Linked DNA regions of Elephas maximus indicus. The protein of the gene in region 2 binds, or shares a complex with, the protein of the main gene of each other region. Links are inferred from orthologs where the notes say so. Each region holds a gene or a part of one and is shown on either strand. Other genes may lie near its edges.

Region 1 (8,026 bases), on a different chromosome or scaffold from region 2:
GAACTCTTCCTCCCCTAATGTTAGCTCCCCAAAAGCCCTTTCCCACAGCCACACCATAGCCCCTCCTCCCCAGACCTTGGTACCCACATCATCCTTCTCCAGCATGCGCAGGATCTGTTTTGTTTCTTCATCCGTCTCCCTCTTCTCTTTTTTGATGTTGATGATATGAGAGGGCCCCATGTCTGATATATCCACTGTCTTATCCCAGTTCCCTATGGAAAATCACCCAAGTCACTACGGATAAGGAAGAGACCGACACCAAAAGTAAACCGAGAGCAGGGAAATTTCTCTCAGGTAGTCTAAACCAAAATCCACTGCTATTCCTCTCAGAGCCCCAGCAGCCTTGTACCTTTTTTCTTCATCATTTCAGCTGGGCCCTGCTCAAAGATGGAGTGGGACTGGATAACTTCTGGGCGACCCCGGCCACGTCCATGTCCTTCTCGCTGTCGATCTCTATCCCTTTCACGCTTCTCCTTCTTGACAGTTACTTCTTCCTTAGGCCTGGAAAAGAGAATGGACTAAGGGAAATCACTCATTCACCTTGCCTCAGAGAACTTATCTTACTCTCCCACGCCACTCTATTCCAACTAAGCAGAGTTTATAAGCCAGCAGTTACATCATGAGGAGAAGCAGAAGTTATCCCTAGGTCTAGCATCTTTTTCACTTCCTTAATGGGGCAGGGTAATTTCAATTTGCTTTACTTTACCTTTTTAAGAGTATATGTCAGAACTATAACTCAAATGCTGAACTACAGAAACTCCCCAAATATGTATTTTTTTTTTTTTTTTTTTTTTTTTGAGCTGACTGAAAACAAGGTGGCTGTAATACATATGAACGTTAAGGGAAAACACTACGTCTCTGTGTAAACTAGCAGCTCTCAACTCTGGCCGTGTAAGAGAAACATTCCATTTCACTGAGAAAGCTAAATTACAATTCTAGGGATTGGGTACCAGGCATCAATATTTTTTTAAAGCTTGCATACCTGAATCACCTGGAAGCTAAGCTTGAAAGTCACTAATGAAAATAACTAAATACACAAGTTTAATTTTCTGAGCCACCTACTTTTGTGTGTCCCAAACATACAAAGTAAAGCTCCAAATTCAGAGCATGTAAATGAGGGGCAGGTATTCAGAGGCCCAGCTACTTACTCTTCCTTGATCTTCCGACTGATGATGTTTGGGGTAAAGGTTTTCTGAAAGTAAAATACAGGAGTCACTGATTGGTTAAGTTCTAACCCCAAAATACAGAGGAAAATGAAAACTCGCAAAGGGCATCTTCTAAGGACCAAGCTCATCCTAGCTCTCTTCCACACATCTGACACTGTTGTCAGAGATTAGAGGTAGACATGGACCCAAAGAGCAACATCATACCGCGGTAGCAGTGAGTTATACAAAGCAGATCGGGACAGCAAAAACCATTTTAACTAGCAGCCTCAGCTTCTGCCCTCTGAAAAGTTCTAAAAGCTAAAGAATGTATCTCATCTCATCTCTTGTCTTCGAACTACTCTAGAAACCAGTCAACATCAGAGGAAAGCTGCTCTAACAGCAAGGCTCAATAGGAGATCTGCTCACACTCAGAGGATACAGTTAAGACTGTCACCCGAATTTCCCAAGACAAAAAGTTCTAAAAAACTGGCTGCTTTATGTTTCTTTTTTTTTCCCCTCCTCTTCAGGGCTACCCTTTACATCTATAGGCATAAATATAACATGAGGGAACTCAGAGCCTCTAATGCTATGCCTTGATTCATTACAGGACAGATCAGAAGTTGCATACCCAGATACATGGAGAATTCCTAACCCCCTAAAATTGCAGACACACATTTATGCCTGCCTGGCTTTCTTGGGTTTCTCAAAGGTGTTTCAAACACAAAGTAAAGAAACACTGCTCAAATTGCTTTTGAGTCTTGGACTCATTAGGATTCTCTGTGAGGTGCCCTGGTGGTGCAGTGGTTAAGTACTCGGCTGCTAACCAAAAGTAGAAAGGTGGGTGGTTTGAACCTACTAGCTGCTCCATGGGAGAAAGATGTGGCAGTCTGCTTCCATAAAGATTTACAGTCTTGGAGACCCTATGGGGCAGTACTCTGTCCTACAGAGTGGGCTATGAGTCGGAATGGATTCCATAGCAATGCGATTGGTTTTGTTTTGGTCCTTCAGTCACCTCTGGGAACCATCCCAACATCTCGTACCCAACACTAGACGTGAAAGTTCAACAAGATCCCCAGAATTTAGAGAGGCGTAGGCAGAAGTCTCAGCACAAGATTCATGGGGGGCTAGACACCACGCCTGGCACAGTGTAGGCCCCACATCAGTATTAGCTGCATCCCAACCCACTGCCGTCGGGTGAATTCCGACTCATGGACACTCTATAAGACAGTTTAGAACTGCCCCACACCAGGGTTTCCAGCTGAATCCCAGGAACCTGGAATTCAAGGTACTTGGGTCTCTTTAGCAAGGCTACCTTCTTCACTCCCCCGAGGGTGAGGTCCCTGGAGCGGACAGAGGGAAGGCGGCCCGCGGTGACAGAGGGCGCTGGCCGCCTCCCGATAAGCCCCCGGGGTCCAGAGAGAAGGGGTCGGGGCCCTCCGGGGATACTGGGCTCGCCCGCAGCATTTCCTTCCGACATACTGCCTGGGAGAGAATGAGAAAAAGGGCAACAAAGTCACCCGAGGGTGCGGACACGCGAACTCTAGGCGTAACCCAACCACGTGGCCTGCCGCCCCCCAGACAGTGTGTCCTTCCTCGTGAGTCTCAGCTCCTCCCCCTCTCACGTGGCAAGACTCCCTGGACCACCCGGTTTGAGGTTTTACTCGCGACCCCGGTCCGCTGCCCTTCGCCCTCTCCCCAAGCTCTCCAGCCAAGCACGAGGCAGGGACGCACTCCAGAGCACCCGGAGCACCCGGGCTGCGGCTCTACACCACGCGCGTCACGACTTCACCTCCGACACGAGCCGCGGCTGGCACTCAGTCTCCGCGCTAGGCGGAAGTCTGCGTGGCAGGGCCCGGGCGCCGCCATTTTGCCGCGGGGCGGAAGTGAGGTCCGGTGGGCGGGGCCGGGGCACAGTATTTATCAAGCGGCACCTCGCTCCCCTCCGCCTTCTCTTCCCGGTTCTTCCCGGAGTCGGGAAAAGCTGGGTTGAGAGGGCGAAAAAGGATGAGAGGACGGGTCTGGGTTACAGTAAGATGTTGTGCTCAGGGGTCTGGCCCGGGACCGGACGTGGGGACGCCGAGTTCAGGGTCTGGGGTCCTTGGCAGCCGCCACGCCACAACGTGAGGATTCGCCTCGGCGGAGCCTGTGGAACCAATGGGGTCGCAGCTCGGATGGGGCGCGGGGCAGAGAGCGAGACCCGGATTCACATTCGGGAAGCCCTGGGGCAGGGCCGAGCCGTGGCCGCGGCGGTTGCCGCTGTGGACTCCAGATGGTGACCTTGGAGTGGTCACTGTACCTCCAGGCAGTGGCTTCGCTCGCGTTTGCTGTCGCTCGGAGGCCCCTTTTTTGAACTGGTGGGGTCCTGGTGTGGGGCTGTCGGGGCAGCGCTGGAGCAGCTGCAGCGGACGAACCTGCTGGGCTCACGACTGTGCAGGTTCTTGTGTGCGCTCTTGGTTAAAGCCTGGAAGGTACCTGAAAAATGAAAAATTTTGCAGGAGAGGCGAAGTGAAATAACTTTTTTATTGTGACTTTGACGCTTGTAGTTTGACATAAAAAATGTCCTTTAATGTTACACTTTCCTCACTGTACAGCATATAAAACCATGTAACAACATTACGGAAAGTTTGGGGAAGGGAAAGTATTTGTTAGAATTCCACCATAACCAAAAAAAAAAAAAAAAAATTCTCTGCTGTGGAGTCGATTCCGGCTCAGCGACCCCACCATAGAGTGCTACTGTTAAAGTTTTGGTAATACAGTCCTGTATCCTTACCAGAACCTCTTGTACCACAATTTTGTATGCTTTTTCAAAGAACATTTCTTTTGCTGCATCCAAATGAGTAATTCTCTGTCGTGTGCTGTTATGGATTGAATTGTGTCTCCCCGAAATATATGTTGGAATCCTAATCGCTGTACCTGTGGATGTAATTCTGTCTGGAAATTAAGGTTTTCTTTGTTATGTTAATAAGACCATATCAATGTAGGGTGTGTCCTAAACCCAATCACTTCTGAGTTATAAAAAAGCAGAAGAGACACAGAAGCAAAGCAATGGATACCTCTAGATCACTGAGCAAGCAGGACTTGAAACTGAGACAGGAATTTACCACCACCACCACCCCCCCACCAGACTGGACAAAGAGCAGTGAATTTGGACTCCTAGCCTCCTACATTGTGACAAAAACAAATTTCTGTTCTTTAAATCCACCTACTTGTGGTATATGTTACAGCAGCACTAGGAAACAGACAGGTACATCGTGATTTATTTCCCTGTTGTTTGGACACTTAGATTTTTTTTTTTTTTTTTTTTTTTTCCCTCGGTTGTAAATAACTCTGCGGTGAACATCTGGTTCGTTTAATGTTTTTTTCTTCTTTTGGGTTATTCCCTTGGTCAGATGTCCAGAGCTGGAGTAACTGACCTAAAGAACATGTGCAGTTTTTTAAAGTGAACTTTATATTTTGAGATAATTATAGATATACTCACCGTTGTTAAAAAAAAAAATAGTGCAGAGTGATCCCAAGTACGGTTTACTGGAATTCCCCCAATAGTAATGTCTTACAAAATTATGGTACAATCTCACAACCAGAATAGTAACATTGATACCGTCAAGATATGCCCGTTTAATAGCCATGCCTACCTCTGTCCCTATCCTCACCCTCCCCTGACAAACACTGATTTGTTCTCCATTTCTATAATTTTGTTATCTTAAGAATGTTATATAAGTGAACTCGTACAGTATGTGACTCCTTGGGATAGCTTTTTTCACTCACCCTAATTCCCTAGAGATTTTCCAAGTTGTTGCATGTATCAATAATTCATTCTTTTTTATTGTTCCCTACCCATAGTATGTATGTACCACAGCTTAACCAGTCACCTTTTGAAGAATATCGGAGTTGTTTCCAGTTGTTCACTGTTATGTGTAAAGTTACTATGAACATTTGCGTATAGGTTTTGAGTAAGCATAGATTTTCATTTCTCTGGGATAAATGCTGCTGTTGAGTTGCCCCCAACTCATGATGACCCCATCCATAACAAAATGAAATGCCACCCAGTCCTGCACCATCCCCATGATCCGTTGCGGGTCAGAACTTGAGATCCATAGGGTTTTCATTGGCTGATTTTCAGAAGTAGATGACCATGCCTTTCTAGCCCCACTGAAATCTGTTCCGCATTGTAGTGACACACAAGCTTCCACTGACAGCATGGTGGCTGCACACGAGGCACATTGGCTGAGCAAGAATTCAACCACAGAACCACTAATGCCTCAGTCATATGACTTGTATGCTTAGTTTTATAACAAACTGCCAAACTTTTCCACAGTGGCGGTACATTTGATGGTTCCATGTTGCTAAATTGCTTTAAAAAAGGATTGTGCTGATAATGCATCACTACTAAATATATGCATACAAGAATATCTATATAACATATTTTTTAAAAAAACCATCGAGTTGATTCTTCTCCTAGCGACCCTAAAGAACAGAGTAGAGCTGCCCCATATGATTTCCAAGGAGCACCTGGTGGATTCTAACTGCTGACATTTTAGTTAGCAGTGTAGCACTTAACCACTACACCACCAGCGTTTCCGTATAATATATAAGAGTGCATATAACATAACTCGCCTGCCCCCTAGAGACCTGCTTTGCTTTCTCCAGAGAATACATTTGCAGGTTTTTGCCTTGGTAGGAGAGAAGCGTTTGCCTAACTTCATAGAGCTGGGAAGGGAATCTGGGGATCTGACTGCTTTTTAAGCAGACTTGCAACCCATCCTCCTCCGGCTAGTTCCCCTTTTCCTCACCTCCACTTCAAAAGGAACCTGGAGCTAACTGGTTATGAGCGCCTCAGTGAGTACTGGTTTGGCTCTTGGTGCCCTCATTACTGCCTTAGGAGTCAGTTTTCTTGGTCTCCTAAGTCTTTTACCACTCTTCCATCTGTTTTCAGTCTTCTCAAATTCTGTTGCCATTGTCATTTTATGAAATGCTATGATTTATATAAAAAATATTGTATTTTTGGTGAACATACACACTGCAAAATAGGTTCCCATTCAACAATTTCCACACATACTGTTCATTGACATTGGTTAGATTTTTTGCATTGTGTCAACATTATTATTTCCATTCTAGTTGTTCCATTCCCATGAACCTTCTCTCACAGCCCCTAAACCTTCTCATCCATATTTTAACCATTGTCCATTGACAGGAGCCATGGTGGTGCAGCGGTTAAGCGCTTGACTGCTAACCTAAAGGTCAGCAATTCAAACCCACAAGCTGCTCTGCAGGAGAAAGATGTGGCAGTCTGCTTCTGTAAAGATTTATAACCTTGGAAAGCCTACAGGACAGTTCTACTGTGTCCTGTAGGGTCACTATGAGTTAGAATCAACTCTGTGGCAATGGGTTTAGTTTTGCTTGCTTTGGTTGTCCATTTGGGCACATATAGTTAATTTTTTAAAAGAGCTCAGTACTCGATTGACATTTTTTGTTTTGAGTTAACCTGCTATTTAGTTAAAAGGTAACTTCAGGATATACTTTCTGTTCAGAGTTTAAAGAGTATCTCAGGACAATGGTCCCTTGGATTCCTCCAGTCTCATAAGTATGCGTTCCTGGGGAATTTGAAGTTTTGTTCCACATTTTTCTCCCTTTCTATTAGGATTCATCTACTGTGTTGCTAATCGGGACTTCAGTATCCAAGAGCCATCTAGCTCTTCCGGTGTCAAAGTAGAGGAGACTGTGGTTTATGGAGAAAATTAGTCCTGTAGACCAGTTCCTTCTCTGATTCTTGGGTTTCCTTCTTTCTCTTTTGCTCCAAATGAATAGAGACCAATAGGTGTATTGTAGATGGCTGCTCACAAGCTTTTGAGACCCCAGAGGCTACTTGCCAAACTGATGTATTGGATTTTACTTTAACTTAACATGGGGGTGGAAAAGTGGGAGAGAAGATGGATAAAGAGTCAGTAATTATAAAGTATGAGTTAGTAAATATATGGTTGTTTTTAATAGTACTGTTTCTATCTTTTTACATGTCTGAAAATTTTCATAATAAAAATATTTTTAAAAAAGAGTACCTATAATGTTTGTCCATATCCTTTTCAGTATTGGCTCTTAAAATTTTAGACATGTTTTTGCCAATTTAATACTATATTAGTATTGTATTCTGTTGGTGCCTAACCAGATTTTTTTCAACTTGTCTTCTCCATATCGGTTTCATGATAACCAAATAAAATCCCTACACACAGAATTCCTTAGCTTCTGACTGAAGCGCTAGATGAAATTTATTTGATTTGATTCTCTGGGCTTTAATGTCCACCAACCTTTTACCAAAAAACAAACAAACCCGTTGTTGTAGAGTCAATTCTGACTCATAGCGACCCTGCAGGACAGAGTAGAACTGCTCCATAGGGTTTCCAAGGAGCGGCTGGGGGATTCAAACTGCTGACCTTTTGGTTAGCAGCTGAGCTGTTAACGGCTGCACCACCAGGGCTCCACCAGCCTTTTGGCAGCTCCTAATTTTTTTGTTTTGTGTTAAAAGATATTTGTTCGTTGTAGAAAATTTAGAAGATTTTAAAAAGCACTCAGAAGGAAATGAAAATCATCTATTATTATCACATCAATTTTTATATGTATTTGATGTTGGTTTTTCTATGCATATAGGTTTTTAAAATTAAGGTATTTTTACATATGGTGCTATATCCTGCTTTTTCTCTCTTAACAAAGATTTTTCTGAGTTATTAAATATTCTAAGTTGTTTTAGTCATCTAGTGCTGCTATAACAGAAATACAACAAGTGGACGGCTTTAACAAAGAGTAATTTATTTCTTCACAGTAAAGTAGGCTCAGAGTCCAGATTCAGGATGTCAGCTCCAGGGGATGGCTTTCCCTCTTTGTCGGCTCTG
Region 2 (7,275 bases):
CCAGAGCCTGGCAAAAGTACAATAAAATATTGGGTGAATTAGTGCTGAGCACATGGTCTAATAAGGATATCACTCCATTTCACTTCCTAGAGGAAAAATATCCAAACTATAGTAAGCACTGTATTTCCCTGCCAAGAATATCCTAACACATAACTGTCTTTTAAGGCAGCTTCTCAACAATGTCATTCCTCAACAATCCCTTCCATCTGTACTCTTATAGCACCTCAATTTTACTTCCTCTGTAGTACATATAGGAAACTCTGGTGGTGTAGTGGTTAAGAGCTACGGCTGCTAACCAAATGGTCAGCAGTTCGAATTCACCTGGAGCTCCTTGGAAACCCTATGTGGCAGTTCTACTCTGTCCTTTAGGGTTGCTATGAATCAGAATTGACTTGACGGCAACAGGGTTAGGTTTGTGGTACATATAAGGAGCCCTGGGGGCGCTGTGGTTAAGCGCTCCACTGCTAACCAAATGATCAGCAGTTCAAACCCACCAGCATCTCCATGAGAGAAACGTGTTAATCTCTTCCGTAAAACTTACGGCCTACGTTAAGACAACACACAATACAGGAGAGGTCAGCACAATTGGACTAAACCAAAAACAAATAAGTTTCCTAATAAACTGAATGCTTCGAAGGCCAGTGTAGCAGGGGCAGGGGTTTGGGGACCATGGTTTCAGGGGACATCTAAGTCAATTGGCATAATAAAATCTATTAAGAAAACACTCGGTATCCCACTTTGGAGAGTGGTGTCTGGGGTCTTAAAAGCTAGCAAGCGGCCATCTAAGATGCATCAATTGTTCTCAACCCACCTGGATCAAAGGAGAATGAAGAACGCCAAAGACACAAGGTAATTATGAGCCCAAGAGACAGAAAGGGCCACATAAACCAGAGACTACATCAGCCTCAGACCAGAAGAACTAGATGGTGCCTGGCTACAACCGATGACTGCCCTGACAGGGAACACAACAGTCAATCCCTGAGGGAGCAGGAGAGCAGTGGGATGCAGACCTCAAATACTCATAAAAACACCAGGCTTAATGGTCCATCTGAGACTAGAAGGACCCCAGAGGTCATGGTCCCCAGACCTTCTGTTAGCCCAAGACAGGAACCATTCCCAAAGCCAACTCTTCAGATAGGGATTGGACTGGACTGTGGAACAGAAAATGATACTGGTGAAGAGTGAGCTTCTTGGCTCAAGTAGACTCATGAGACTATGTGGGCAGCTCCTGTCTGGAAAAGAGTTGAGAGGGCACGGGGGGTCAGAATCTGGCCAAATGGACACGAAAATAGAGACTAGAGGGAAGGACTGTGCTGTCTCATTAGAGGGAGAGCAACTAGGACGGCAGTGGTATATAAATTTTTGTATGAGAGACTGGCTTGGTTTGTAAACTTCCACTTAAAGCACATTAAAAATTAAAAAAAAAAAAAAAATCACAGCCTAGAAACACTGTGGGGCAGTTCTACCCTGTACTAAGGTCTCTATGAGTCAGAATTGACTCCATGGCAATGGGTTTGGGTTTTTTTGTGGTAAATATCACACACTGCATTGTATTGCAAATATTTGTATATTGATATCATCATCCCTCAAATTCTTAAGTACCCAGATCATATCTTTCTTACACAATTCTGTTCTTCACACAGAATCTAGCTCAGGGACTTACACATAAGAATGCCCCCAAAGGGGCTGGATGAACCCCTAAAACTACTGTCCTGAGATAATTTTAAAACTTAAACCAAAAATATCCCCTGAAATCTTCGTAAAACCAAACAATAGTTTACCTTAGTCAAAAATGTCTGCCTTGAGCATTATGCTCTTTTAAGATCTATACCGGATCAAAGCAACAACAACGTTAGAGGGCAGTTAGTTTATGTTAATGGAGGAGGAACAACTCAGAAAAGGACGGTTAGAATGGTTGCACAACTTGAAGAATGTAATAATGTCACTTAATTGTACATGTAGAAACGGGTGAATGGGTGTATGTTTTACTCTCTTCACAACAACAAAATGAATGCCCCCAAAGGAGCGACTGGATAAATCTCTAACTTGATTAACAAAATCTTCATAAAGGCCACATCCCACCAAGCACCTTCACAAGGTAAGCAAGAGAGTAAACCTCTCTTTCCATGAGGCTTATTAGTACAGTTGCCAAAAAGGTTTTCATAATTACCTTTTATAATGCTGTCTCATGGGTCCCTTAATACTTTTTTCTGCTGCCGAATGGGGAGGTCAGTCAAGTTCTCACGGGAATTTTGAAGCCTAAACGAACGTTTAATAGCTGGAGGAGGACGGGGTGCAGGGGGTGGGGAGGTATAGGATAGGGATCAGGCATGAACAGTGGAGGTGATTTGTGTGGCTCGCAGGCCACACCCTGTTAATAGATGCTTTTTCCTTCCTCACAAGCTGCCTCCACCTTTCCTTAATCGAACCTTTATACTAACTTTCTCTGCTCTCTTCCAAGTGCCGATAAACTAGCCAAAAAATAAAATAAAAGGAGGGAGAGAAAAAATATAGAATTTCGTTTTTTAGAAAAGAAAAACCTTATTATGAGTCCCACGATACGGGGTAAAGTATCAACAGTTAAAACACTGTCCTCAGCTGTAAGTCTGCGGCAATGACTAGTGCCTAAAAAAATTATATGCCAAATCCCAGGATCTGGTACATCTCCTCCCACTAATAAAAACAAATTCCCTTCTAACTCACTGCAAACAGTCCCAGGAAATGCAGGCCAGGTAAGATATGGAAACGACGATTTCATGTGATTTTTAGGGGAGTAGGAAAAGGACAGGTAAAGCTATCTCCCAATGCGCCTCAAAGCAAGGGCTCTTTAAAGAATCTGTACTCCTGACTACCCCCATCCACTCCACGTGCCCCTTTAACTCCCCACTATGGTCCTCACGCTCGCCCAAAGGCCCCGATTGCTTGCTTCGTTACCTGGTCACTAAGGCTCGTGGCTTTGGCAAAACTATGCAGCAGAAGTGCCGGCCGGCAAAGAAAGGGTGCGAGCAGAGGGCGCCGAACCTTCGGGCCGCTGGTACCACTTTAGCAAAAGCGCGCTCCGCCCTCCACGCGGCCCCGGAACCGCGTTAGGATTCCAACCAACTAGCCCCGCCCACCCCTTAGCTAAGCCCCACCCCCTGAGCCAAGAGTTTTTTAGCCCTTGGCAGGCGCCGTAGTCGCCGTCTAACCGGTTGGCCTGACTCCGTGCCGCATGAGAGTGAGCATTGAGACGCGTTGGGGGTGGACAGGCCTGGTGCAGCCTCCCACAGCTCAGTCTCTGCAGTCAGACCCCCCGGGGTGGGGAAAGTATCTCTTGTGCAGTGGCTCCCGTGCTGCGGTTGCACAGGCTACTACTGCTCCTGCGCCCGAGTGCGGCTAGTGCTGCCCCCGCGCTCTGCTGACCTGGCGGGAGGGGCCCCACCTCCTCCTACCTCTCCCCCTGCACCTCCCTGCATCCTCCGCCCCTCGCTCTGCGCCTGCTCCCAGGCTGCGGGCAGACAGCGCCACAACCGCCGCAGAGTCGCGGGTCTGGCCACAGTGCAGGAGGTACACACGCCCACACCTACCTCGCCCGGCCGCACCCCTGCCCAGGATGTCGGCGCTCGAGTGGTATGCCCACAAGTCCCTGGGCGACGGTATCTTCTGGATTCAGGAACGCTTCTACGAGTCGGGCAACCGGGCCAACATCTGGCTAGTGCGCGGCTCGGAGCAGGACGTGGTGATCGACACCGGCTTGGGGCTGCGCAGTCTTCCTGAATACCTGTATTCCTCCGGCCTCCTGCAGGACCGCGGGGCCAAGGACGAAGCAGAACGCCGGCCTCTGCTAGCGGTGGCCACACACGTGCACTTCGACCACTCCGGCGGCCTCTACCAGTTTGACCGGGTAGCTGTGCACCACGCTGAGGCCGAGGCTCTGGCTCGCGGGGACAACTTTGAAACGGTGACATGGCTGTCCGACAGCGAAGTGGTGCGAGCGCCCAGCCCTGGCTGGAGGGCCAGGCAGTTCCGAGTGCAGGCGGTGCAGCCCACCCTCATCCTGCAGGATGGTAATGAGTCCCCCCATGGGCGCGCGCTGTCTAATTGAGAGAGGGGATGTCCGAGGGATGCATGTTGCAGACCTGCATGGCTGTAATGGGGGCTCGTTTTAGCACACCACAGAAACGCCATTTCTGTTTTAGCTTTCCCCGAGTAAATGCCCACCTTTCCAGAGCCACGGCAATCACAGTCTTCCCTACCTGAGACCAGCTTTGGCCCCTTGAAGCGGTTCCTAGAAGGGCGGTGAAAACCGATCCCACCCCCTAGTCAGTTTCTTGTGTCATGAATAGTGGTAAGACTACGGGGACTTGTGACTGAGGCTTTCCCATTCCTTTTCCAGGCACCTTTCTGACATTTCTGGGTGTTTTTGTAGCTAGAAGACTTCCAACGAATGACACCTCACAAAGTGCGTGTCATGCTCTATGCTTTTGAGAAACGCTGACTTTATCTGTTCGGTCACCACCTAGTACGAGCAATTTCCACCTGTAGGCTTAGAAAGCTGTCAGAGTGCAGAGGTTCCAATCTGATCATGCAACCCTACCTTCCAGATTTCTAATCTTGCTGTTGCCTCACTAGAGAAAAAGCTTGATTGTAAACATAAGGGTAGAATATGCTTTGAGTCTTGTGTTAAGATAGATATCTGTTGTGGTCGAAAGCAAAATTCGAGAAGGATTAATAAGGAGATTGCTTCTGGTGGTGGTGGAGTATGTAGCCTAATGCATAGATAGTCCTAGTTCTCTTTGGCTCTGTGAAGGACGGAATAGGATTCAGAGAAAAACTCATGGAATAAAACACAGTAAGGCCCCAACCTGTTCCCACCCTCAGGAATTAAATACTTGAGGTAATTGGCCACAGGAGCAATATCTGGCATATTAATTTCCTTTTTTATTTTTAAATACTTTTTTTTTAATCTCATTTTATCCTTAACATATTCGAAGTGAAAAACACTGGCATCCAATAAAATGACTTGCCTAAGATCCACAAAACAAAATAGTGACAAAAGCTAGGATTTGAACCAAGGTACAATAGATGAAAGCGTGCAGAACATACATAAATCCTACCACAGAAATATTATAATTCTGAGTAGGATGCGAAACCTTTTCTTTTCACTTTGACACCATCGTTACTAATGAGTCGAAATAAACTTGACAGTAGCAGGTTTGGTGTTTTGGTGTGTGAGGTAGAAAAAATCCAGCTGCTGAAGTACAGTAAGGTACTAAAGCTCATTTTATGACCAAACAATATCACAAAAAATGAAATAACACAAAAACCAGTTTATCTTATGGACAGGGTTTTGATCATCTCAGATGCTAAAAAAATAGAAAGGAAAATTAACATCTCATTCCCCCACTAAAAAGTTTTTTCATCGAAGAACTGATTTAGATGGGGGAATCTTATGTTACCTGACATTATGAGGCACAGGAGAAATACATTTACATTAAATTTACTTTTGGTTCTTGTATTTCTCGATATAATTAATACTTTCAGAGGTAAGATTTCGGCACAGTTGATGGGTATGCAGACTCAGTTCTGGCACTCACAACAAAAAATATTTACATTAGTATTAAAATATATTTGAATTGTTCTGAAGATTACTTTTGATCCTATGCCAGCAATGGGAAATCAAGGATAAAAAAATGATAGGGATTATTGTTTTATAGATGAAGAAAATCTGTTGCCATCCAGATGGTTCTGAGTCATAGCAACCCTCTAGGACAGAATAGAGCTGCCCCATGTGGTTTCCAAGCAGCGGCTAGCAGATTCAAACTGTTGACCTTTTAGTTAGCAGCTGAGCTCTTAACCACTGTGCCACCAGGGCCCCTATAGAGGAAGAGAGAGTTTAAAACAGGCCTGACTATTGTGCCTGAGATCACATAGCCAGTTTGGGAAAGAGTTGGAACTAGAACCTAGTTCCCATTAGAACCTAAAATCCCAGTACGTGGTATAATCAGTGTTTTGGAGGTGTAAAGAGACTGCAAGCTACTTGTGTGACACTTTAAGCCTTTTTAAAGTGTGAAAGAAAGCTTAATATTTACCGAACGCTTTCAAGACGATAATACTGTGTTATCAAAAGTTGTTTTTCTTTGGGAGTCAGAAGCCTCACTCTCTGACACACTCCTCCCCCATTGCCATTGAGTTGATTCTGACTCATAGTGACCCTACAGGACAGAGTAGAATTGTCCCATAGAGTTTCCAAGGAGTGCCTGGTGGATTCGAACTGCTGACCTTTTGGTTAGCAGCCGTAGCCCTTAACCATTATGCCACCAGGGTTTCCTCACCCTCTCAAGCAGTACCTGATTTCCTCTCTTCTTAGGATATTACTTTCCTGTATCTTCTAAATGATGTGGTCTGCTAACTTGTTATTAACAGACTCCACATGCCTAGAAGGAGATATAAAACATTTATATTAAAAGTTCATACACAGTTACATACTCGTACTCAAAGAGCTCTTAAGATAAGGTCTTCATTGCTTTGGTTAGAATACAAGGAGATGGAATTCATTTTTTTTTTTCCTTAATTACTTTTCATTTAGTGCACTGTTTGTCGTGGGGAATGATAAATCTGTATTCTGTATCACTGATCCAAAAGTTGTCTCGTAAACGAGGTAGCTACAAGGAGTACGAGGGAGAAAATAGCCATATCACTAAAGTCGTTATTTTTGTCAGAAAAACAACTCACCTTGTTAGTAGTTGTCTTAGTCAACTAGTGCTGCCATAACAGAAATACCACAAGTGGATGGCTTTAACAAAGAGAAATTTATTTCCTCACAGTAAAGTAGGCTAAAAGTCTAAATTCAAGGCGTTAGCTCCAGGGGAAGGCATCCTTTCCCTGTCAGCTCTGAAAGAAGGTCCTTGTCCTCAATTTTCCCATGGTCGAGGAACTTCTCAGGCGCAGGTACCCCGGGTCCCAAATGATGTGCTTTGCTCCTGGTGCTACTTTCTTGATGGTATGAGGTCCCCAACTCTCTGCTTGCTCTCTTTCCTTTTATCTCTTAGACATAAAAGGTGGTACAGCCCACACCCCAGGGAAACTCCCTTTATATTGGATCAGGGAAGTGACCTGAGTAAGAGTGGTGTTACAATCCCACCCTAATCCTCTTAACATAAAATTACAGTTGCAAAATGGAGGACAGCTACATGATACTGGGAATCATGGCCTAACCAAGTTGATACACACGTTTTTGGGTGGACGTAATTAAATCCATGACAGTAGTGAACTAGTATCTTCCTAAAAAAAATA
Region 3 (7,613 bases), on a different chromosome or scaffold from region 2:
TCAAGATGTCACTCTGAGAAACTGACAGCCCTCTAAAAAGAACATTCCCAACACTGAGCACACATTTCATCTTTCCACAGCAGATTCTGCAGATGTTAATCTTTAACCTAGCGAATTTGGATGTTCCTCTCTATAGGACAGAAAAAGGAGTGCTAACCTTGAGTTAGCACTTCCCCCTCTCCATACAGGTTAGATCTGGGGCTCTCCTCTTTCCTTCCCTGGTCACAGCTATCTCTCTCGGCAAGGAGTGATTAAACATTTAAACATTCAAACAAAAAGACCATATTTTCTCCTTATACTCTGATTTTTATTGCCACTGTGACCCCAGCTACCATCTGCTGAGTGCTTCCTGAACTCAAGCGCTGTAAAACTCACTTAATCTTTGCACAGCCCATGAGCATGTATCAGCCCCAGAGAGGCCAAGGGGCTCACCAAGGCCCCATGACAAAAAGTCACCAAGAATCTAACCCAGTCTGTATGACTCCAAGGGTTATACCAATATTATGTGTCTTACGAATAAATTTTTAAAGAAGAAAGCACACAGTATGACTTCTACTTTTAGAAGCCCCATGAGAAGTACACCGTTACAGACTCTGACATGGAGATGCAGCGGGCAGCCTTGTAATTCTCTACAGCTTTGTAATGAAAAGAGCTCCCCTCACCTGCAGTGGAGTCGACATTCTCCCAGGCAGCTGCTCCCCCAAGTACATCATCTACTTCTTTCAGCTTGGGATACTTCCGATTTGTCACCTAACAAACAAAAAGTCTTCAGACTCTCCAAGGAAGTGATTGGTACAAACCCTGGGCCACCAAACCAGAACAGTCCTCAGGTGTCTTCCCAGACTTGCTTCCTCCAACAAGCAGTGGAGGAACAGTAAATAACAACAAAGTTCCTGCTCTCACAGGCCAGGGCTGTGAATATAGAGAACCTGTGACCAGGTTGGAAACCCTGGTTGTATAGTTGTTAAGCGCTATGGCTGCTGGCTACTAACCAAGAGGTCGGCGGTTTGAACCCGCCAGGTGCTCCTTGGAAACTCTATGGCGCAGTTCTACTCTGTTCTATAGGGTCACTATGAGTCGGAATCGACTCAACGGCAGTGGGTTTGGTTTTCTGGTGAACAGGTTGCCCACCAAGAGGAGAGGGGTAGTTTGAGCAGTCACAGATCTCTGGGAGGATTACCAAAAAAAAAAAAAAACCCATTTCCGTCGAGTCAATTCCGACTCATAGCGACCCTATAGGACAGAGTGGAACTGTGCCATAGAGTTTCGAAGGAGCGCCTGGCAGGTTCAAACTGCCGACCTTTTGGTTAGCAGCTGTAGCACTTAACCACTATGCCACCAGGGTTTCCCTGGGATGATCAGAGGAAGAAAAATGGGTTAGGTGTGGCCCTCCTTCTCTCCCACCTCTCCAGGGCACATGATAATCCAATATGAGAGAAACGTATAAAATGGAAACCAAAGAATACCACTTAGCTGGGTAGCCCAGACACCCCCCACCCAGGTAGAGAGAGGTTTCAAAGCAGCTTACAGTTGGCTTCTTTTATCAGACATCCCTGAAACTTTCAGGGTTACATAAGGGTTCGCTCTTCCCGTCTTTTGGGACTCTAAACTCCCACAACACAGTTATACACTAGAGTGTATGCAAATAACAAAACTGAGGCAGCACAAACATACTCTACTTCTGAAAAGTATAGTGTTCCAGATGTATTAAACCCAATGCTGTTGCACTGATTCTCACTCACAGCAATCCTATACAACACAGTAGAACTGCCCATAGAGTTTCCCAGGGAGCAGCTGGTGGATTTGAACTGCCGACCTTTTGGTTAGCAGCCATAGCTCTTAAACACTGCACGACCAGGGCTCCTCAAGATGTATTATCAATGGAAAAATACTAAAATATTGTCCACTTATAATACAGTATACCCAAAACCAAACCCATTGCCACAGAATCAATTCCAACTCAGAGAGACCCTCTAGGACAGAGAACTGCCCCATAGGATTTCCAAGGCTGTAAATCTTTTCGGAAATAGACTGCGACATCTTTCTCTCCGAGAGGCAGCTGGTGGGTTTAAACCGCCAACGTTTGGGTTAGCAGCCTAGCGCCTAACCACTGTGCCACCAGGGCTCCTATAGTACAGTATGCAGCCTTCTTTTACTAAACACCCATTCTAATGCAGGTTCCATTCCAGGCATTCAGACTAGGATACAGAAAGGGACAGAACAGAGAAAAACTCCCTGCACTCCTGCAGCTTATGTTTTAGTATTAATAAACAAAGCACATGAGTAAATTATAAAGTATATTAGAAGGTACGTGTCCCATGGAAAAAATAAAACCGGGTAGGAGAATAAAATTGAGAGGGCTGTAACTTTAGTGTAATCATTTAAGTAAAGACGGGACCACCAAGTCACGTGGATCCAGAGCAAAAGTGCGCCCAGCTGAAGAACCTATGCAAAGGCCCTGCAGGTAGCAGCGCCGGAGCATGACGGGAGATACCGCAGTGGCCGGTGCTGTTAGGGAAAAAGAGCGAGAGGGAGAAGGACGTGAGGAGGCGAAATCCGAGAAGCAGGCGGGCGGGGTCAGGGCTAGAGCCTGGGGGTGCCCTGTAAGAACTGCTTTTACTCCCAGCCGGCCGGGAACCACTGGAGGTTTCTGAGCACGGACTGCTGGGACTTGACTCGGCTCAGTGAAGAGCACACTGCGCAGGGAGCCTAGCCAGCATTTTTCTGCGATAACCCCGGGACTGTTCTACGGGATTAGAGGCTGGCTCCGATCGTCTCAAAGGCAGAGCCGACATGGGCATGAGCGGATAGCGGGTGAGGGTGGGACCCACCTTGCGGGTGATGTTGTGCACGTAAGGGCAGGTATTGCAAGCGAAGCGGTGGCAGCGCTGCCCCTCCTCCACAATCAGCCCGTTTCCGCAGCCCGGGCAGAAAAGCAGCATAGCCGGCGAATCAGCCCGATTCCGCCAGCCCCTGCAGCATCCTGATTCCCGGCAACCTCCGCGTCCGCTGGGCGCCGGCGCTCGCCCGGCCTCGAGCTCTCATTGGCCCAGGCAAGGCACTCCTCAGGCCACCAATAGGCACGCTGGCCTCGCGCTCCCAGCGTGCCCAGCAGCAGACGGTCTTGCACTTCTCATTGGTCAAGGTGGCCCGCCCCGCCCCCAAGCGCACCAATGGCTGTCCAGGCTTGCTCTGCGGTCCACAGTCCTTTTGTGCACGCAATTCGTCTTCCTCTCGCCGACTGGCCGGGGCGAGAGACCCACGGCGGACGCAGCCCTGGAGGGGGCTGAGGCTGAGGCGCGTCCCGAGGCGTCGGAGGTCGACGAGGACGACGACGAGGCGCTCCCGCACTCGGAGGTGGTGGACGTGTTCCAGGAGGGTCTCGCCATGGTGGTGCAGGACCCCCTGCTCTGCGATCTGCCGATCCAGGTGCGCAGCCGGGGTCTTTCCCAGCGAGGCCGGGGCAGGAGCGGCGGGGAGCGGACCCCGAGGTCGTGTGGATATTGCAGCCCCTGAGCTGGAGGAAGCACAGGGCTGGTCCTCGGAGGGCGCATTTTCCTGCCTATTTCTGTTGTTGTTAGGTGCCGTCGAGTCGGTTCCGACTCATAGCGACCCTGTTTCTGTGCCCTTCTTTTACTGGAGCCTCTGTCCACTTTGATCCTTAAACTTGAAAAGTATGGGTGAAATTCGAGATCGGGGTGCTGAAGAACTGCGAGCCCTAATATAAGCAAGGATCCTTTCCTCTACTTGCTTGTCGTAAAATATGGACACCCCTTTTTGGCCTCTGTCAACTTGTTTTGTTCATTGTCATTTGGGATGATGAGAAGAGCACCCCACTTTTGTCTTTTCCAGGTTACTTTGGAAGAGGTCAACTCCCAGATAGCACTGGAGTATGGCCAGGCCATGACTGTCTGTGTGTGCAAGATGGACGGAGAGGTCATGCGTAAGTGATGCCCTCCTCCCTGCCACTGTGCTTTCTCAGGGCTGCCAGAGACATCAAGGCCACCACGAACCTGCCCTGCCCCGAGGTTGGCCTGTGGTACCCACTGACCTGAGGTCTTCTCCCATTTGTATCCCTGGCTGCAGCTGTGGTCGTCGTGCAGAACGCCACAGTCCTGGACCTGAAGAAGGCCATCCAAAGATATGTGCAGCTGCGGCAGGAGCGTGAAGGGGGTATTCAGCACATCAGCTGGTGAGTGGAGCAATTCCCAAGCCAGCATGCACACGTGCTGGACCTGTGCTCTCTGGTCCTCTGCCATGACTGAGGGGTGAGTGCCCTGTCTCGAGCTCTTTCAGGCAGAGACAGGTCTTCCATGGATTCCTGCCACTGCCTCCTTTCTAAACATGCTCATCTGTGTTGTCCCGCCTCCGCTGCTTGACTCTTCACTTGGGGGCACCTTTAGGCATTTCCAGTGTGACATGAAATGGTCTCCCTGGTTACAGACAGCACTGCTCGGTCAGGGCCCACCCCTCCCTCCCTCCCTCCCTCTCTCCCTCCCTCCCTCCCTCTCTCTCTCTCTCTCTCTCTCTCTCCCCTACTCTGCACCAGTGCATTTCTGCCAAGGGTGTTCGACCCCTATGCAGCCCTTTGGGACCAGTGCCCCTTGTAGCTCCTTCAGGCCTGGTGTGCACATCATGCAGGAAGAGAACTCCTTGTTTCCTGAGTCTCCCTCTTGCAGGTCCTACGTGTGGAGGACCTATTATCTGACCTTTGTGGGAGAAAAGCTCACAGAAGACAGGAAGAAGCTCCGAGAGTAAGTCCTGGCCACATCTTGAGCTGCTGAGGGGTGTCTGGTCCTTGTCTGCCTCTAGTCCCTGTACTCTCGTAAAGGAAGGGGCTTCCCAAAAACACCTATGTGCCGGATCTCAGCCATCCCCACTAAAAGGGCAGGCAGAGGAGTTGGCTACAGCAGTCCTGGCTGGCTCTCACCACTGTGAGAACATCAGGGTCCTGTGGATGTGCACAGGTCAGATGGAGGGAAATGTAAGCATGTAGAGGGGAAGGGCCACCCACTGAACAGCATGAGCCGCTTCCTCGCTCTGCCTCCTTCTCCCTGGCACCACCCCCTCTTCTCCCCTTTCTTTCCCTTCTTTTTCACAGGCCCCAGGTAGGAGTCACTGGTGTATCTTTCTGCCCATCAGACACATCCGACCTTTCTTTCTCTTTCAGTTACGGCATCCGGAATCGGGATGAGGTCTCCTTTATCAAAAAGCTGAGACAAAAGTGAGCCTCCAGCAAGGACAGAGGTGTGGGGGACAAACTCTTCTCCTCAGGACATTACCCTTGGCCACTGTCTCCTTCACAGAAAGGCAGGTTGCAGCCTCACCCCAGTTGTGCTCTGCCTCCTCCTTCCTCCCCCATCTGGAACCAACAATGTGAGCTCCATGACTGTCAGGTCCTCATTTCTCTTCCATTTACTTGATCTGAAGCCCTCCTGAGGCCCAAACCTGACTACATGTGGATCCCACAGGACAGCCTCATATACAAAATAAATGTTTGCTTTTTAGTTTGAAAGTCAAAAAGCCAGAGTACCCCCGCCAGGAGGTACAAATGCTGCCCCATAGGGAGGTGGAGAAAGGGAGCAGGGTTGGAACACATGGGCCCTGAGGTCCAGGGTGACCACCTGTGCCCTGTGGCTGCATGGTTCCCCAGATGGCAAACTGCTCATGCCGTGATCTGTACAGCAAGGGGGACAAGCAGAGCAGCTGTCTTTGTTTCTGTTTGTGGGACCAGGGTAGAATGTGTGTAACACAGATATGGGCTGGACCAGAGGCCCCTTGGGGCTCACTGGGTGAAAAGGAGGGAGCATGGGACTGAAACTACAGCTGTTGGCTGGACCAAGCATGGGGGCTCTCCAGCAGGGCTGAGGGCAAGGGCATCATTGGGGCACCCCACCCCACCATCACCTACCAGTCACCAAAGGAAGGGCACCGTGCATCCACCCGGCTGAAGGACCTCCCTCCACAGCCACACGATCGGATCCCAGAAGGAGGAGGCAGCTAGGATTAAGGTAACGGCAGCTAAAACGCTCCCATTCGTTTACTGGCCGCGTGAGGTGGTTGTCAAAAGAGACTAGTTAGAAGGTGATTATGGGCATTAGTGTAACAAACATGGTGACATGAGAGGTTCAACAGAAGTGAACAAGGCACAGAGGTCTGTGTTCAGAAACATGATCTGGCCAGCCAGCAAGGGCAGAGGCAGGCTTGGCACCGGGCTCCAGGCCTGCTGGAGCATGGCTGCAGCCCCCACCCCTCGGGCCTAGCTCAGTGCAGCTGCGTATCTAGCTCGTACTTCTCACAGAACTTGTCAGTGAAGGGGATACAGGTGAGGAACTCACACCACTCACAACGTACAGGGTAGAAGTAGAAGAGGACCACCAGGCTGCCGAGCAACCCCAGGAACACGGCCTGGAAGATGATGATCTGGCAGCGCTTGCGGTACAGGTCAAACTTGCCAAAGCTGATGTATGGCAGGAAGGCAAAGGAGAGGAAGAGGCCACTGACAAAGCCAGAGATGTGGGCAAAGTTGTCGATCCAAGGCAGCAGCCCAAAGGTGAAGAGGAAGAGTACCACAGCCAGCAGCTTGAAGAAAGCACGCCACGGACTCGCCAGGATCTGCCAGCTCTGGAACAGCTCCACAAAGAGGCAGGCCAGAATGCCAAACTGCGACCCAGCCGGGCCCACCTGTGGGGGTTCGAGGCACCGGAGCTGACCCAGGTCTCACTTCCTCTTGCCCCACCTCCCTGGCCTGGAACCAATCAGAACCAAGGGCCAAACAGAGGGACCTGATCCAGTGCTGGACGTGGACAGATGTGCATGAGTGTACCCACCCGAGGGACACCTCACCTCTGCACGGTAAGGCAAGAAGATGGCACTGGCCAGGTTGCCAGTGATGCCACTCAGCAGGTAGATGATGGAGATGCGGTGCCAACCGGCAAGCTTCTCCAAGTCCCGCAGGATGGTCATCTGGAAGCAGACGGACACCAGGCAGTGCAGGATCCTGAGGTGGGGGAGGGGAGGGGATACTCAGGACGGTGGGAGCCTGCCATCCCAGCCTGGCCACTCCCCAGCACACCCCACCATGCCCAGTGTGTCACTTGCCCTGCGTGCAAGAAGAGGGACAACCACAGGCGGTAGAACTGGTCGGGCACCTCAGGGTTGAGGAAGGGCAGGAGCCCGCACACATCATCCATGCAGTGCACCTGCACAGAGTGGCCATTAGCACCCACGGTGGCGGGGGGGATCACCCTCTGCCCCAAGACCTACCTGAGAGCAAAGTGTGGCCTCCTCGTGAAAGTAGCCCCTCATGAAGTCACAGTACTCCCGGGAGGTGATCTCACACCTGGAAAGTCAGGCTGAGGGTGGGAGGGTGCCCCCCATGGTAGGGGGGACTACTGAGGCCCCAGGGTCAGAGGCATGTGCCCCCCACCCACCCGCCTGCCTTTGATGACCCCAGGTAAGTCCAGACCATTTTAAGCACATTCCCCTTGGTGTCTTGGATTGTTTCGGAATTCTGTGAGAGAGAAGGGCATAGTCCCTCGCCAATGCTGAGCCTGGGGACCAGCTGCACGCAGCCACGTACACACATCCTCATGCATGCATGCACCTATGCC

The links.
Region 1: POLR3G (region 2) and POLR3D share a complex: the UniProt entries of both Homo sapiens proteins name them as parts of the RNA polymerase III complex. The link is inferred for Elephas maximus indicus from reciprocal best matches to the Homo sapiens genes POLR3G and POLR3D.
Region 3: POLR3G (region 2) and POLR3K share a complex: the UniProt entries of both Homo sapiens proteins name them as parts of the RNA polymerase III complex. The link is inferred for Elephas maximus indicus from reciprocal best matches to the Homo sapiens genes POLR3G and POLR3K.

The regions. Positions count from the first base shown.
Region 1 is NC_064840.1:52,465,618-52,473,643, forward strand, and holds the start of POLR3D (DNA-directed RNA polymerase III subunit RPC4), read right to left. Parts: upstream 3,016-8,026; 5' UTR 2,807-3,015; exon of another isoform or gene 2,768-2,806; intron 2,628-2,767; 5' UTR 2,623-2,627; coding exon 2,458-2,622; intron 1,193-2,457; coding exon 1,149-1,192; intron 502-1,148; coding exon 350-501; intron 213-349; coding exon 88-212; intron 1-87. UniProt on the Homo sapiens protein: DNA-dependent RNA polymerase catalyzes the transcription of DNA into RNA using the four ribonucleoside triphosphates as substrates.
Region 2 is NC_064820.1:97,122,115-97,129,389, reverse strand, and holds the start of POLR3G (DNA-directed RNA polymerase III subunit RPC7), read right to left. Parts: upstream 3,089-7,275; 5' UTR 2,935-3,088; intron 2,924-2,934; exon of another isoform or gene 2,260-2,923; 5' UTR 2,171-2,259; intron 1-2,170. Other genes in the region: acyl-coenzyme A thioesterase MBLAC2, read left to right, coding at 3,593-4,046. UniProt on the Homo sapiens protein: DNA-dependent RNA polymerase catalyzes the transcription of DNA into RNA using the four ribonucleoside triphosphates as substrates.
Region 3 is NC_064830.1:57,373,835-57,381,447, forward strand, and holds the start of POLR3K (DNA-directed RNA polymerase III subunit RPC10), read right to left. Parts: upstream 3,038-7,613; 5' UTR 2,943-3,037; coding exon 2,832-2,942; intron 751-2,831; coding exon 663-750; intron 1-662. Other genes in the region: SNRNP25 (U11/U12 small nuclear ribonucleoprotein 25 kDa protein), read left to right, coding at 3,388-3,429, 3,853-3,943, 4,087-4,192, 4,680-4,754, 5,171-5,228; RHBDF1 (inactive rhomboid protein 1), read right to left, coding at 4,293-4,433, 6,355-6,684, 6,847-7,000, 7,102-7,202, 7,267-7,342, 7,469-7,513. UniProt on the Homo sapiens protein: Core component of RNA polymerase III (Pol III) which synthesizes small non-coding RNAs using the four ribonucleoside triphosphates as substrates. Can mediate Pol I proofreading of the nascent RNA transcript.